Linked DNA regions of Arabidopsis thaliana. The protein of the gene in region 2 interacts with the protein of the main gene of each other region in a biochemical or structural test. Each region holds a gene or a part of one and is shown on either strand. Other genes may lie near its edges.

Region 1 (7,343 bases), on a different chromosome or scaffold from region 2:
CTTGAAGCCCGTTGGAATTTGCTGATTCTTATAATTTGCACATCTCCTCGCAGCTTTTTCATCATAGTGCAATGGCATGATTCTTTGTTTGTTTAACAGAATCTCAAGCAAATAAAAAGTGAGAAACATTTGCTCGATGGAGTAAAATGACTCCGCACCTCAAAACATATATGAACAGAATTTCTCCATGTCGTATATATCATTCTCTGTGTAGGCTCCAAATATCGTCTTTGATGATCCGTTCATAATTCATATTAACCCAAAAAAGAAAGAAAAAAGCACATTGGAATCAAGTAATATAATCCACCAGCTCCACCATTAACCCGTTCAAAATTGTTATTAACCTTAACATACCCGTCTTTGTATCCCAATAATATTTCAGATCATCATACAACAGAAAAACGGCTTAAAATATAAGACATTGGTCCTAAGCAGAAACTATTACGGTTCTGGTGGACTATAGCTAATGACGTAGATGATTACAATGATTTTTAATGTTCGGCGATTGAGGAAGGCACCTTCCGTCGGTTCATCTTTGTCTCATTAGCGTTCGATTATAAGAAATCTCATATTATTTGTTACGACTTTCCCATCCGTCAATATAACACAGAGATACATAAAACTTAAATAATATGATCAAGGATAAATATATTAGAAAGCAGAGATTCATTCATTAAGGCCATTTCTCCATCTCCATTCAATATTTAAGAAACAAAAATCCACAAGGCAAATTTGCATCCCAAAAAAAAAGCACAGACCGAATATTTTTTAAAAGAGAAAAATAGCGAAAATGAAGCGATAAATTTGTTTTAGGACAGTCTCCATATGGACTTCTAAATATACAAGCAGATTCCTTTCATGAGCCAACCACTTCCATAGTTGTTGTTTTTTTGCCCTAAGCCAAGTACCTAAACATGTTAGGATTCTCCTTGTCCCTCTCCAAATAATCTCTGGTTATTAAATCCTCCATACGCTTCTTGATCGCTTTGATATCAGGCTGCAACAAACATCACAAATCCAATGAGTTTCATCACCACGTGCATCTTCAAATGTCTCTGTATAAATATAATTATATGTATAATTTACCTTGAACATTCGGCTAAGTTGCTCAACACACTCAGAAACAAGTTGTTGATGTCCCAATACTTTCCTGCTCTTCATGATCCTGACAATGGCAGCATCAATTGCATATCTTCTGTCTTTATCGACATCTTCAACGACTTTCTTCCTTTCATCAACTGGGGGAAGAGGGATCTGTGACGCAAATCACCCAAGTTGATGTTAGTTATTAACAATATGTAAAACATGACATAAACTTGCAGACTTTTGAGTATTACTATTAACGTCACAAACCTTGATTCTGCGCATTCTATCGGTGAATTTGGAGTTGAACTCAAAGGCATCATTCTGGGAGACAGTCTTGGTGTTTGGCTCCTTAAGGAGTATCTTGTACTTAGCACATGACAAGGAATGAAGCAACCTAACTAGATCTTCATGGCTTAGGTTCAGTTGAGCCAAGATCTCAGTGTAACTTAACTTGTCAGTTGTGTTAAAGAGTAGAAGCACAGCAGCCTATAGAGACAGAGAACGTGGCATCAGAGTCCGTTTACAGATAGAAAATATATATCAGTATTTTCTGAGAAACATACAGTACCTGGTAAGTAGACACTATTAACTCGATGGCCTTTTGATCAAACTTCCCGTTTATGTGACAAGTTCCCAGTGAATAGATCCACGTAAGCTTCCTGTGTTTCGTTTTCGTTTCATAAAACCCTTTGAAGACTTCAACACACTTGATCTGAAACAAAGAATCAACGAATTAGATCTATCAGAAGCAAACAATCTCCTTTTCAGGTATGTAAGAAAATCAATAGAGTTTTTACCATTTCACTGGGTAGATTTATGTCAAATGATTTGTAACTTGGCCAGAAACCAGTGGTAAGAACAGTGACGGTCAAGTCAATCCCTGGGTTTGCAGCAGGGTTACTGCCTAGATAATCCTCGAAACTGTTTTGGTTTTCTCTTGCCAGTGTCAAATCCGTCACCTGTCACCAGCGGATTAAAATTATATAGAAAACATAAGTCATCAGAGCACGCACCGCTTTAAAATAAGAAACACAGGGACACTCAAACTAACCATGCCCTCCATCTTAGAAGTAAACTGTCCACCACATTGTTGCTTGAGCTTTGTCAGGATACTTCTCTCATGATCATCATTAGCACTGCGATCAAATAAGAGCCTACGGGCCAGCTTCTTCCTGCAATCAAAACCATAAACAAAATGGCTTGCAACTCAGTAATCCAACTTATGTCAATCAAATTGTATATTGTTGCAAGGCATCTCCACAAAAAGCTAGTAAAAACAAAACATTACAAGAAAAACAAAGAGTAGAAGCAAAAAGAGTCGATCCACAGATAAAGAAAGATTGAAGTTGGAGATAAACCTGTAGAACTCAGCGAAAAGATCCTTGTCACTTATGTATGCAAGCAATTTGACAACCTGTAACAACATTATAAAATTCAGGACCACTCTTTGGAGACTTGAAAAAGAAAAAACAGTTTGACAAAAGTACCTTCTCAAGCGTATCTTCGATAGCTTCATCACTCAGCTTTTCACTTCCCCCCTTTTTGAGAATATTGTCGCAAAATGTTGCAAGTAGTTCTGCACTTGAACTTCCAGCAACCGTTTTGTTACAAAAAATCTCAAATGCCTCTTTCAAAGCCTAAAATATGTTTCCATAAACTTAGGTTAGTAACACAACATAAACATGAATAAGATAGACAAATGACAAGTGCGCAGAAAGAACATTAGACCTTATGGAAGAGGGTGTGGTTCTGGAAACACTCGGTGACATATACCATGTATTTATCATGAAGTTCAATCACTTTTCTGATAAGAACCTGGAAATAATGAAAGGACAGTGAATCGTTAGCAATTTTATCCCCAAAAAAAATGAATCTCTAATTTCCAATATATCTTTACTACAATCGGTTTATAATTTTACCTGTTCCTGGACGCTAGCAGTATTTGCAACCTGTGGAATAAAAACGATCTTAGCAATCACAAACGAAGAAAGAAGAGTTATCCGAATATAACAAGTAAGATAATATGAACCTGATTAGTAGCCGTGTCTTCGGCCTGTTGGACAAGAGCGTTACCCTCTGCTGTGACATGCTGTGAACGAATAACAAGTTACAGTTAATGTCATACAGTAATTAAGAGACTGCAAGTAGACCATGAAGAAAAGACTATCCATTTGCTAATCATAAACAAAAGAATGAAGATAGGTAATAAACCTGCTTAAAGATGTTTGCAACAGGTTCCAAGCCTCGCAAAATTTTATGGTAAAGCCTGTACATCCTGGAGAGATCATCCACCTGAAAGTAGACAAATATAACCATTAAAGAAATAATTAAGTCACTAACTACTCAACAATAAAAACAAAAATACTTGCTCTACCTTGTCATCTCTTAGCAATGCACGGCACCCTGAGTGTTCTTTTTCTAGAAGCTGACTTGCAAACACAACCAGCAATTCATGTTGTACTTTCTGCATACAAAAGATTACTATACAAGTCAAACAGATATCAATCTTTAAAATCAAGTATGCCTGGACTACGCATTTAAAAAGAGTCTGGAAAGTATCTCAATACAAATAACAAAATTCAAAATCAAGGCTTATGCAAGATCTATGGTTTCTTCATCAAACCTACAAGTACAGGCATAATTACATAGTGCATAATAACCAACCTCAACCAGCTTTGGCTCACTGCTTGAGTGTAGGTAGTGAGCCACTCTCTCCCTCTCCTTCTTTAGACATTCTTCAGACTGTAACATGAAAGCACAGAAGTTAATAAATAATTTCAACTATTGTGAAATAAAAACAAATTTTAGAAAATGATATCACGAGTCATGCCTTCAACATGTAATCAGGGCAAGAATCTTCCTGAATCCAGCTTGATGCCTTGCGAGAATAATACGAAGAAGTATCTTGAAGCATGAAGCTTTCAAAATCTTCTTCATACCTCTCCATCTGCCCCATTCCAATCTCTACATAGATATCTAATACGTTTTTCAGCAGGGCCCTATCAATCTGCTCGCCCTCCCGTTCTTTATCAACCTGACAGAAGAACAGGTCATGTTAGACCTTGAATCAGGCAAAAGCCAGAGTTGGATGTAACTGCACAACAATATTGACGCCATACTTACAAGAGCTATTACAGCTTGTTTGACCTTAGAATGTAGCTCATTATAAACCTGAAGCGAACAGAATCAAGGAAAAGTTAAAAATATTTCAATACAACTGAAAGCTATAAAGCCACAGGAATGAATGCCATACCAGGTCACGGAAGCATGTCAGGCCAACTTCATTCAGTGGTGGAAGTGATCTCCGAGCAATGAAGTAACGGTCAAGGTAGTAGAAGAAGCGGGATAGCCATCTGACCATTACTTTATGGTTTGACCATCTTTTAAATAGCTCCCGCAGCATAAACTCATCATGCTTCTCCCTCAACGCAGGCAAAACCTAACCACAGACAACAAGAGAGCAAACATTCAAAACCGTTTGAATCAACTTAAAACCAAGAGGGGACAGGACTTCTTGACATATGAAACCATGCACAAAAGTGGCATCTTAAAATTCAGAGGTAGTAAAAACGAGAAGTTTATAAGAAAGAAACTAAATATCAATCAGACTCACTGTTGAGTTAATATATTCCTCAAATGCTTCCCGATACTTGTCATAAAGCTGCTGTGAGTAATCATGAGGAGGTTTCTGGGTGCACATGTTGTAGATAGTCCTGAGAATCAAATAAATTCCCCATCATAAGTATCAGGACAAACAGCCAAACCGCTATATAAGGTAATAAACAAGTATAAAACCTACGTATAAAGCATCATATATTGCTCAGAGTCAAATGCTGGCTCATTCAATCCTTCCAGAATCCGTTTCAGCTTAGTAATTCCAGTCTGCATATAGTCCCATCCTTGCTCCAAGTCAATAGTCTTGCGCTCCATGTTGACAAACAACTTTTCAAGCTCTCCTCAACCTAAGTTAACCAAAGAACAAGGAGAAAACCAAAATTTAGAACAGCAGTATTAAGCAACACAATGAAATGACTGAAGCGAGAGAGTCAACAATATTTATCATTCTTCAGAGGTTATAATAACACGTTAACACCCACATTATCGAATGCGAAACGAGTATTATCACCCAAATCAAACCCAAACTATCAGATTGTGCGCAAACGAGGACATAAGCATCAGAATATACTCGAGAAACAATCAATCCATGAGATAAACACGAAATTACACAGTAGAAACGCAATCCAGAGACTCCGACGTAACCCTAACAATCTCGATCCCACAAAAATTCAAATAAAAACCTAGAAAGACGAACAATCAACAGAATGATAAAAAAATCAACTGTCGTATGGAACAAAACAAGCGAGAATCCGACAGAAATAGTGATACCTCGAGATCTTAAACCCTAATAATCAGAAAATCGCGTCGCCGTACCCCAAACAGACCCTGACGATTACCGATTCCCGATTACACAGGATCGGCGAGAGCTGCTGCGATCGAAAAAGAAGCGAGAGAGAGAGAGAATCAAAACCCTAAGAATCGTTCAGGAAAAAAGCGTAAAATAGAGAGAAAGAGAGACGAGACCTATGAGAAGGGCGGTGAAAAGATATCTCAGGAAACAAACTCGTTCTCTTCTATTCTATTATTTTCAGGTCTTATAGATTTAATTATTTTTATTTTATGTCAACTAATATATTAGTATAATATTAAACAAATTTAATTTCTTACCTTTTCAGAGATCTACATCAAGACGCTGCGTTTTATAATTTTTCTTTGTAAAGTAACTTATTTACTTTTATGCCCCTTTATTTTGCCTTCCTTACTCAAACCCTAACCCGAATCGGCTTTTTGACAATCCGAAATTAGGTAACCATGTTCATTGAATTTATCGTTTCAACACATTCGAATCACTGAGTCCTACGTTTCAGTTTAATTCCCTGATGCACATTTTGAATTCGGTTTGCGTATTGGTCTTCGAGTTTTCCGTCGGCGGCCATGGACGCGTTCAAGGAGGAGATAGAAATCGGGAGCTCGGTGGAGTCTTTAATGGAGCTATTGGATTCGCAGAAGGTGCTTTTTCATAGCCAGATCGATCAGCTCCAAGATGTCGTCGTTGCGCAATGCAAACTTACCGGCGTTAATCCCCTTGCGCAAGAAATGGTGGGTTATTGTTTCTATGTTTTTTGGTATCTAAAGTTCGTGTTTTATTGGGGTATGGTGATATGGGCAAAGCTGAGAGGGACAGGTCATTCGGATTTTGGAATAAATTCTTTGAAGGGTATTGAGTCTAGCAAAAATTAGAGGTGTTTTTGGTATAAATTCATATAGCTCGACCTCTCCGTTTCTTCTGTGAACTGTAATGGTGATGCTTCAACTGTTTATATGTCATTTCTCTGATCAAGTAATCATCTCTGTTAAAGACATTAATCTGTTTAATTTTTTTGTTGTTTCAGGCTGCTGGTGCTTTGTCCATTAAAATTGGTGAGTCATCTTAGGATTCGTGAGATCTTTTGGCATAATTACGTATATCACAGAGAATGTTTCAATTCATTGTTGCTCTCTAGGTTCATTAAAGGCATACCCAACTTTTACGTGCTCGATGCCTAGTATCTGATGAATTTGTAAATATTTCAGGAAAGCGGCCAAGAGACTTGTTGAATCCTAAGGCTGTTAAGTATCTACAAGCAGTTTTCGCAATTAAAGATGCTATTAGTAAGAGGGAATCTCGGGAGATAAGTGCTTTATTTGGCATCACAGTCGCCCAGGTATTGTTCTTCTACATGATATGTACTCTTTTTTGCCATGCTTTTAGAATTCCATGTCAGTTTAGATCTGTCATGTTGAGGTACTCATGAGACTTTGGTTTGTCTCTTTATTATTTTCTTCAATGGCAGGTTCGAGAATTTTTTGTTACTCAAAAGACAAGAGTGAGGAAACAGGTGAGGCTTTCAAGGGAGAAAGTAGTTATGTCCAATACGCATGCTTTACAAGATGATGGTGTTCCGGAAAATAACAATGCCACAAATCATGTTGAACCCGTTCCCTTGAACTCTATACATCCGGAGGCATGTTCTATAAGCTGGGGTGAAGGTGAAACAGTGGCACTTATTCCACCTGAAGATATTCCACCTGACATCAGCGATTCAGACAAATACTTTGTTGAGAATATATTTTCTCTGCTGCGTAAAGAGGAAACATTTTCAGGCCAGGTGAAACTAATGGAGTGGATCATGCAGATACAAGATGCTTCTGTGCTGATC
Region 2 (4,569 bases):
TTAATCAAACACAGGTAAAAGAATGAAAAACTCTTGTGTAAGGGAATCTTGTACACTCCCGTCATGAAAGATAATACGCTTGATCATTTAAAAAAGATATACCTCTTGATATACTTTAGTGAGCATCTCAGAACGCGAAACGATTAATCCTGCTAGGCATTTGGCCGCTGCTCTCCTAACTTTCCAGCTGGCATCTTCATCATCTGTGTACTCATTTGCACTCTCGCTGTGAGAAAGAAAGACTTATTTCAGTGAGATAATGGTGCACCGTAAGGAGCTAGGCTACTGTTCCAATGAATAAATCAGAACTTACTCATCTTCTTCATCTTCAAGAGTCTCATTATCAGTATCTTCCTCCATATTGTCCGTAAAATTCGGGTCATAACTAATATATTCTAAAGTAAGATTTAAAATTTCATCACAATATGGTGAGATGTCCCTGGGACATCGTAGCAAGAAACTTTCAAGTGCCTGCAGTCAAATTTCAGAACAGACATGTTATCGTCTACATTGTTCATACCAATTTTATTGAACCTAAGATTAGAATTCCAATTTAATAGCATAGGAAAGAAAAGAGACTACAAGCACGCCTAAGTAATTGTCTGATTACAAAAATTAGATGAGAAAACAAAAAATGCAAGCGTAGTGAGAAAGTAGGAACATTAGGGAATCTTGCACGATACCTGTAAGCTATACTCGCGAAGCTCCTCGTCATTTTCTGAAGCGCTAGTGCAGTAATTGATTAATACTGGCACAGTGTTACCTAGATGAGTGCCAAACCGGTAACCAACAGCACGGCTGAAACAAAAACGCATTAAATAGCATTACAACCATGGCAAGCCTAGTCGTAGATAACCATTCATCCCAATCAATAAATAGGTAGCACAAGTACAACTAACCGAAGCATACTACAACACTACAGTAACGTATGGTAAGAAGTTAAAGATATATAACAAGCCGATAAGAAGGAAGATAGGAAGTACCATAAAGCTCCAATCATTTGAATATTGGTACGTGTAATCTCCGATTTTGCATTCCTGTTACTTAGATTTTTCACAACTTCAACAGTCGCCTTCGCGAGCAAATCATCAGACAGACTGGAAGCAAGAGAAGCTGACACCACACAAAATTTTGAACTTAGAAGAGGCTATATACCATCGAATTAAGAGTTCTATATACGACTAGGAAAAAAATGACATTGAATATATCATTTGAACTAGCATCGGTTTCACAAGAATTGACGCAAACAGCTGAAAACCATATTTCTAATATAGATAAGGAAAGCTACCACTCAAGTCTCGGCAGATTAAAGTTGGTTTCAAATTAGCTAAATATTGACATTAGTACCGACAGTACCCAGCAATCATATTGACTCAATTTTATGAACTTACCAATGCATGTAACAGTCTTCTTCCTGACTGTGGCTTGGTTACAGCCCAATTGCAATAACAATGTATTCAATAGCTTCTCGTGATCATCCGTCATTAAACTTCCATATTTTTGAACAACATCACACATGATCTCAAGACATTCACACTTGATCCCTGAGCTCATTCCCTTCAGCAGTAAATACGCAGAAAATTAGTTACTTGTAAAATAAGATGATAGAACCTTAGAGTAGACAAATAATTATATGCATATACTGTGCTCTGGTCTACTAAGAGTTTTTCAGACAGAGTTCTTTAACTGTATTAGATCCAATAAAACTTAAAACGTAAAATCAACTAATTTTCCAATAGATGTCAATCAATATGATTTTGATGGGATCCGAAATTGTCTAGGACGACCCTAAGCACTGTCGCATATGCAATCGAAATAATAAGGAATAGACCTCCCAACAACTAACCTGGCCACTTATTCCTCCTATCATTTGTGGTGTTAGAGTAACAAGAATAGATGGAGCAAGCGTAGGAGCAATTTGAGCGACAACAGTCCTGAGAGCTATGCTTGCGGTATCACGATGCTGGTCTTTCCCATGCAGCAGTTTATCACATAACTTGTTGGTCATTTCAACAATTCGTTCTTCTCCAACCTTCTTCACCAATGGAGCAAGACTGGAACAAAATCATAACATCAAAGGTCGACGATAGATCAGCTAAATGTAAAAGTATAACATCAGCTTAGGTCATAAGTTGCTAAGAGCAGAAAGCTAACCATTTAACAGCCAATCCAGAAACATCACCAGCCACATCATCGAGCTGTTGCAATATGATACTCGACAATCTCACCTCCAAGTCCAGGTCGATTTTAAAGGAATCCTTATTCAACTCATTAAGCAAATCAGAGGTTGCCATGTATCTGTAATCTTTATCTTTACCCGTCATCTGAAACTATAGTAAATACAGCAATGAGAAAAGGTGACTATACTCAAAAACAAAATTAAGCTTAATTAGAAACAGATGATGAAAAGACCTTTTCGAGTATCCCAGAAACTTGTAAGTTCGCCATATTGGCCCGACCTTCTCAATTCACTCCTTCCAACTGCAATCAAACAAGGATCTCAAAATTCATTACTTAGTAAAAAGAGAATCAACCATGCGTTGAACTAAAACGCTTAGTCAGAGCAATGTCACTCTATCAAGCTCTCCACAGAGGTTAAAACATCAGAAACAAAGTCAGAAGTGTAAAGAAGAAGCATCGAAGATGGATTAATTATCGCCGGTAACAAAACCTAATTAATATCCCTTAGAAAACTTTTGATTCATCGAAGATCACAAAGAAGAAGTTCGGTTTGATAAATCAAAGTATCGTCGCCACCAAAACCCTAAGACTACGACTACGAAGACGAAAAGAGTTAACGCTAGACATCATCACACTTTATCGATCAAAAAGCAAAAAAGAGGTAACCCTAAGTAACCTGAGAAGATGAAATCGACGGAGGTAACGCCGGAGACGGAGTAGAACGCCGAGAGTTCCGATTTGGTGGTGGTGGAAGTTGCGGAGAGGAGAGAGCTCTGAGGAAAGTAAAAAAAGATGGAGGAGATACTGTAAATTTCCGTACTCGTGAAAGCTTGATTTTTAGCCCTTCTCTCTTCTTAAGGAGGAAGTTAACTTTCTTCTAAATGGGCCTGTGTAGGATTAATTGGGCCTGACTTGGTGCGATTTGAGTCGGTTAATGGGTAGCGTTTATTTCATGCTGTACATTGTTGGACTTGATTAGTCGGTTAATACTAAATGGGTTTGGCCCAATTACTTTGTTTTCAGTCTGAGCCCAAGCATGGGTTTCTTTGTTTGATCCAAGTAGTTCTTTTTTTGTTTGCTTTTTTTGTGTCAGGGACATGCTATGCGATTGCGACCAACCAACTAAATAGTGTTAGCCATTGGTTCATCGACAATTTATGGTCAATATTTTTGAACGATTAGCAAGTAAAAAATTGTATCACTGAAAGTTTTCAACCTAGGCCAAGTATATGTGGTTTAGTGGTAGGGGAAGCTTTGGGAAGGATGAAACTCTTAGACCCGAGTTCGATTCTCCTTGAAAGTTGGTAAGTGTATAAGTTGGGTCTTGGTTTAATTGGTTTACTTGGTAATTAGAAATGTAGGCGGCCGCCTGACTACCCCCTGGCATTAGTCAGAAAGCATTTCAAACTCGTGACAGACAGACAGTATGGTGGTTTTTCGGGAAGAAGTCCACTCGAAAACATTTCGGTGTGTTTTTACTAGGGCTAACCAGATCAGCCGATAAGGTTTATAAGAAAAAAAAAAAATTGAATCAAAATCATTTGTTAAATGTTCCCGACCCAACGACTACCAAATAAACATGATTTCATTGTCGATAGTCATCGCTAACGATTATAAAGTTAACAAAATATAACTGATTGTCATTGTTGCTAACGACTAAAAAAAACTAAAACCGTAAAATATGGTATAGATGTGAGATTTTTTGTCGAAATTAGACTTCCTTTATTTTGAACTAGAACTTCGAAATTCAAATTATTAGATACTTTTGTCTAAGTAGTTTCTTCGTCATCTGTTTCTTCCACTTCCACGTGTGTAAATTTTTCGTGGGTTTCAGGATTAAGTCTTCCTTATGCTATTTCCTTAGTCTTAGTTGTTGACAAATATGTGCCCGTAGAATCTTCATACTTTCGAATGACAAATTCATCGCCAGACTCACGGTCACGCAAGAATGGAAGGTTAGACACCTCAGGCACATTCAAGTGTTGAAGCTCTTCAATTACTTGATTATAGACATACTAATATTTGAAAAGCAACAAAATTATGAATTTTTTCAGATGAGAAGTTAGGTCAGTGCTGTCCTCTAGTAGTTCCTCTATTACCTGAAAGAAAATGAATAACACACATCATGTCATCATACATGCAAATACAAAATCTAAATGTATAGTATACTACTATTTTGAACTAAACCAAGTAAAAAGTACCTCTCTACCACGTATAGTTTTAGTACCAATTATTTCATATGCTCTTTCGGATCCCTCCGTTAATGGCCATTTAAAATAGTCACAATCGCAAAGAATGCACATCTCCAGAAAATTATCGTCTGTGAATTCTGAAAAATCGTAAGATTTTGCTTCTTCTTTAGTTTCTTTTTCGTTGTCTTTATTTTTC

What was found.
Region 1: the proteins of CAND1 (region 2) and CUL1 form a complex in vitro, tested with the Arabidopsis thaliana proteins (one study listed by BioGRID).

Annotation. Positions count from the first base shown.
Region 1 is NC_003075.7:1,126,988-1,134,330, reverse strand, and holds CUL1 (cullin 1), read right to left. Parts: upstream 5,817-7,343; 5' UTR 5,668-5,816; exon of another isoform or gene 5,574-5,667; 5' UTR 5,518-5,573; exon of another isoform or gene 5,473-5,517; intron 5,049-5,472; 5' UTR 5,017-5,048; coding exon 4,886-5,016; intron 4,800-4,885; coding exon 4,700-4,799; intron 4,526-4,699; coding exon 4,340-4,525; intron 4,258-4,339; coding exon 4,210-4,257; intron 4,121-4,209; coding exon 3,917-4,120; intron 3,829-3,916; coding exon 3,751-3,828; intron 3,551-3,750; coding exon 3,461-3,550; intron 3,379-3,460; coding exon 3,298-3,378; intron 3,176-3,297; coding exon 3,116-3,175; intron 3,036-3,115; coding exon 3,006-3,035; intron 2,902-3,005; coding exon 2,815-2,901; intron 2,724-2,814; coding exon 2,574-2,723; intron 2,501-2,573; coding exon 2,445-2,500; intron 2,259-2,444; coding exon 2,138-2,258; intron 2,046-2,137; coding exon 1,884-2,045; intron 1,799-1,883; coding exon 1,655-1,798; intron 1,573-1,654; coding exon 1,354-1,572; and 6 more. Other genes in the region: LD (Homeodomain-like superfamily protein), read left to right, coding at 6,079-6,243, 6,537-6,564, 6,718-6,848, 6,978-7,343.
Region 2 is NC_003071.7:688,224-692,792, reverse strand, and holds the start of CAND1 (cullin-associated and neddylation dissociated), read right to left. Parts: upstream 3,010-4,569; 5' UTR 2,858-3,009; intron 2,482-2,857; 5' UTR 2,449-2,481; coding exon 2,413-2,448; intron 2,331-2,412; coding exon 2,155-2,330; intron 2,055-2,154; coding exon 1,847-2,054; intron 1,558-1,846; coding exon 1,392-1,557; intron 1,114-1,391; coding exon 984-1,113; intron 799-983; coding exon 684-798; intron 472-683; coding exon 314-471; intron 227-313; coding exon 103-226; intron 1-102. Other genes in the region: AT2G02550 (PIN domain-like family protein), read right to left, coding at 4,029-4,196. UniProt on the Arabidopsis thaliana protein: Key assembly factor of SCF (SKP1-CUL1-F-box protein) E3 ubiquitin ligase complexes that promotes the exchange of the substrate-recognition F-box subunit in SCF complexes, thereby playing a key role in the cellular repertoire of SCF complexes.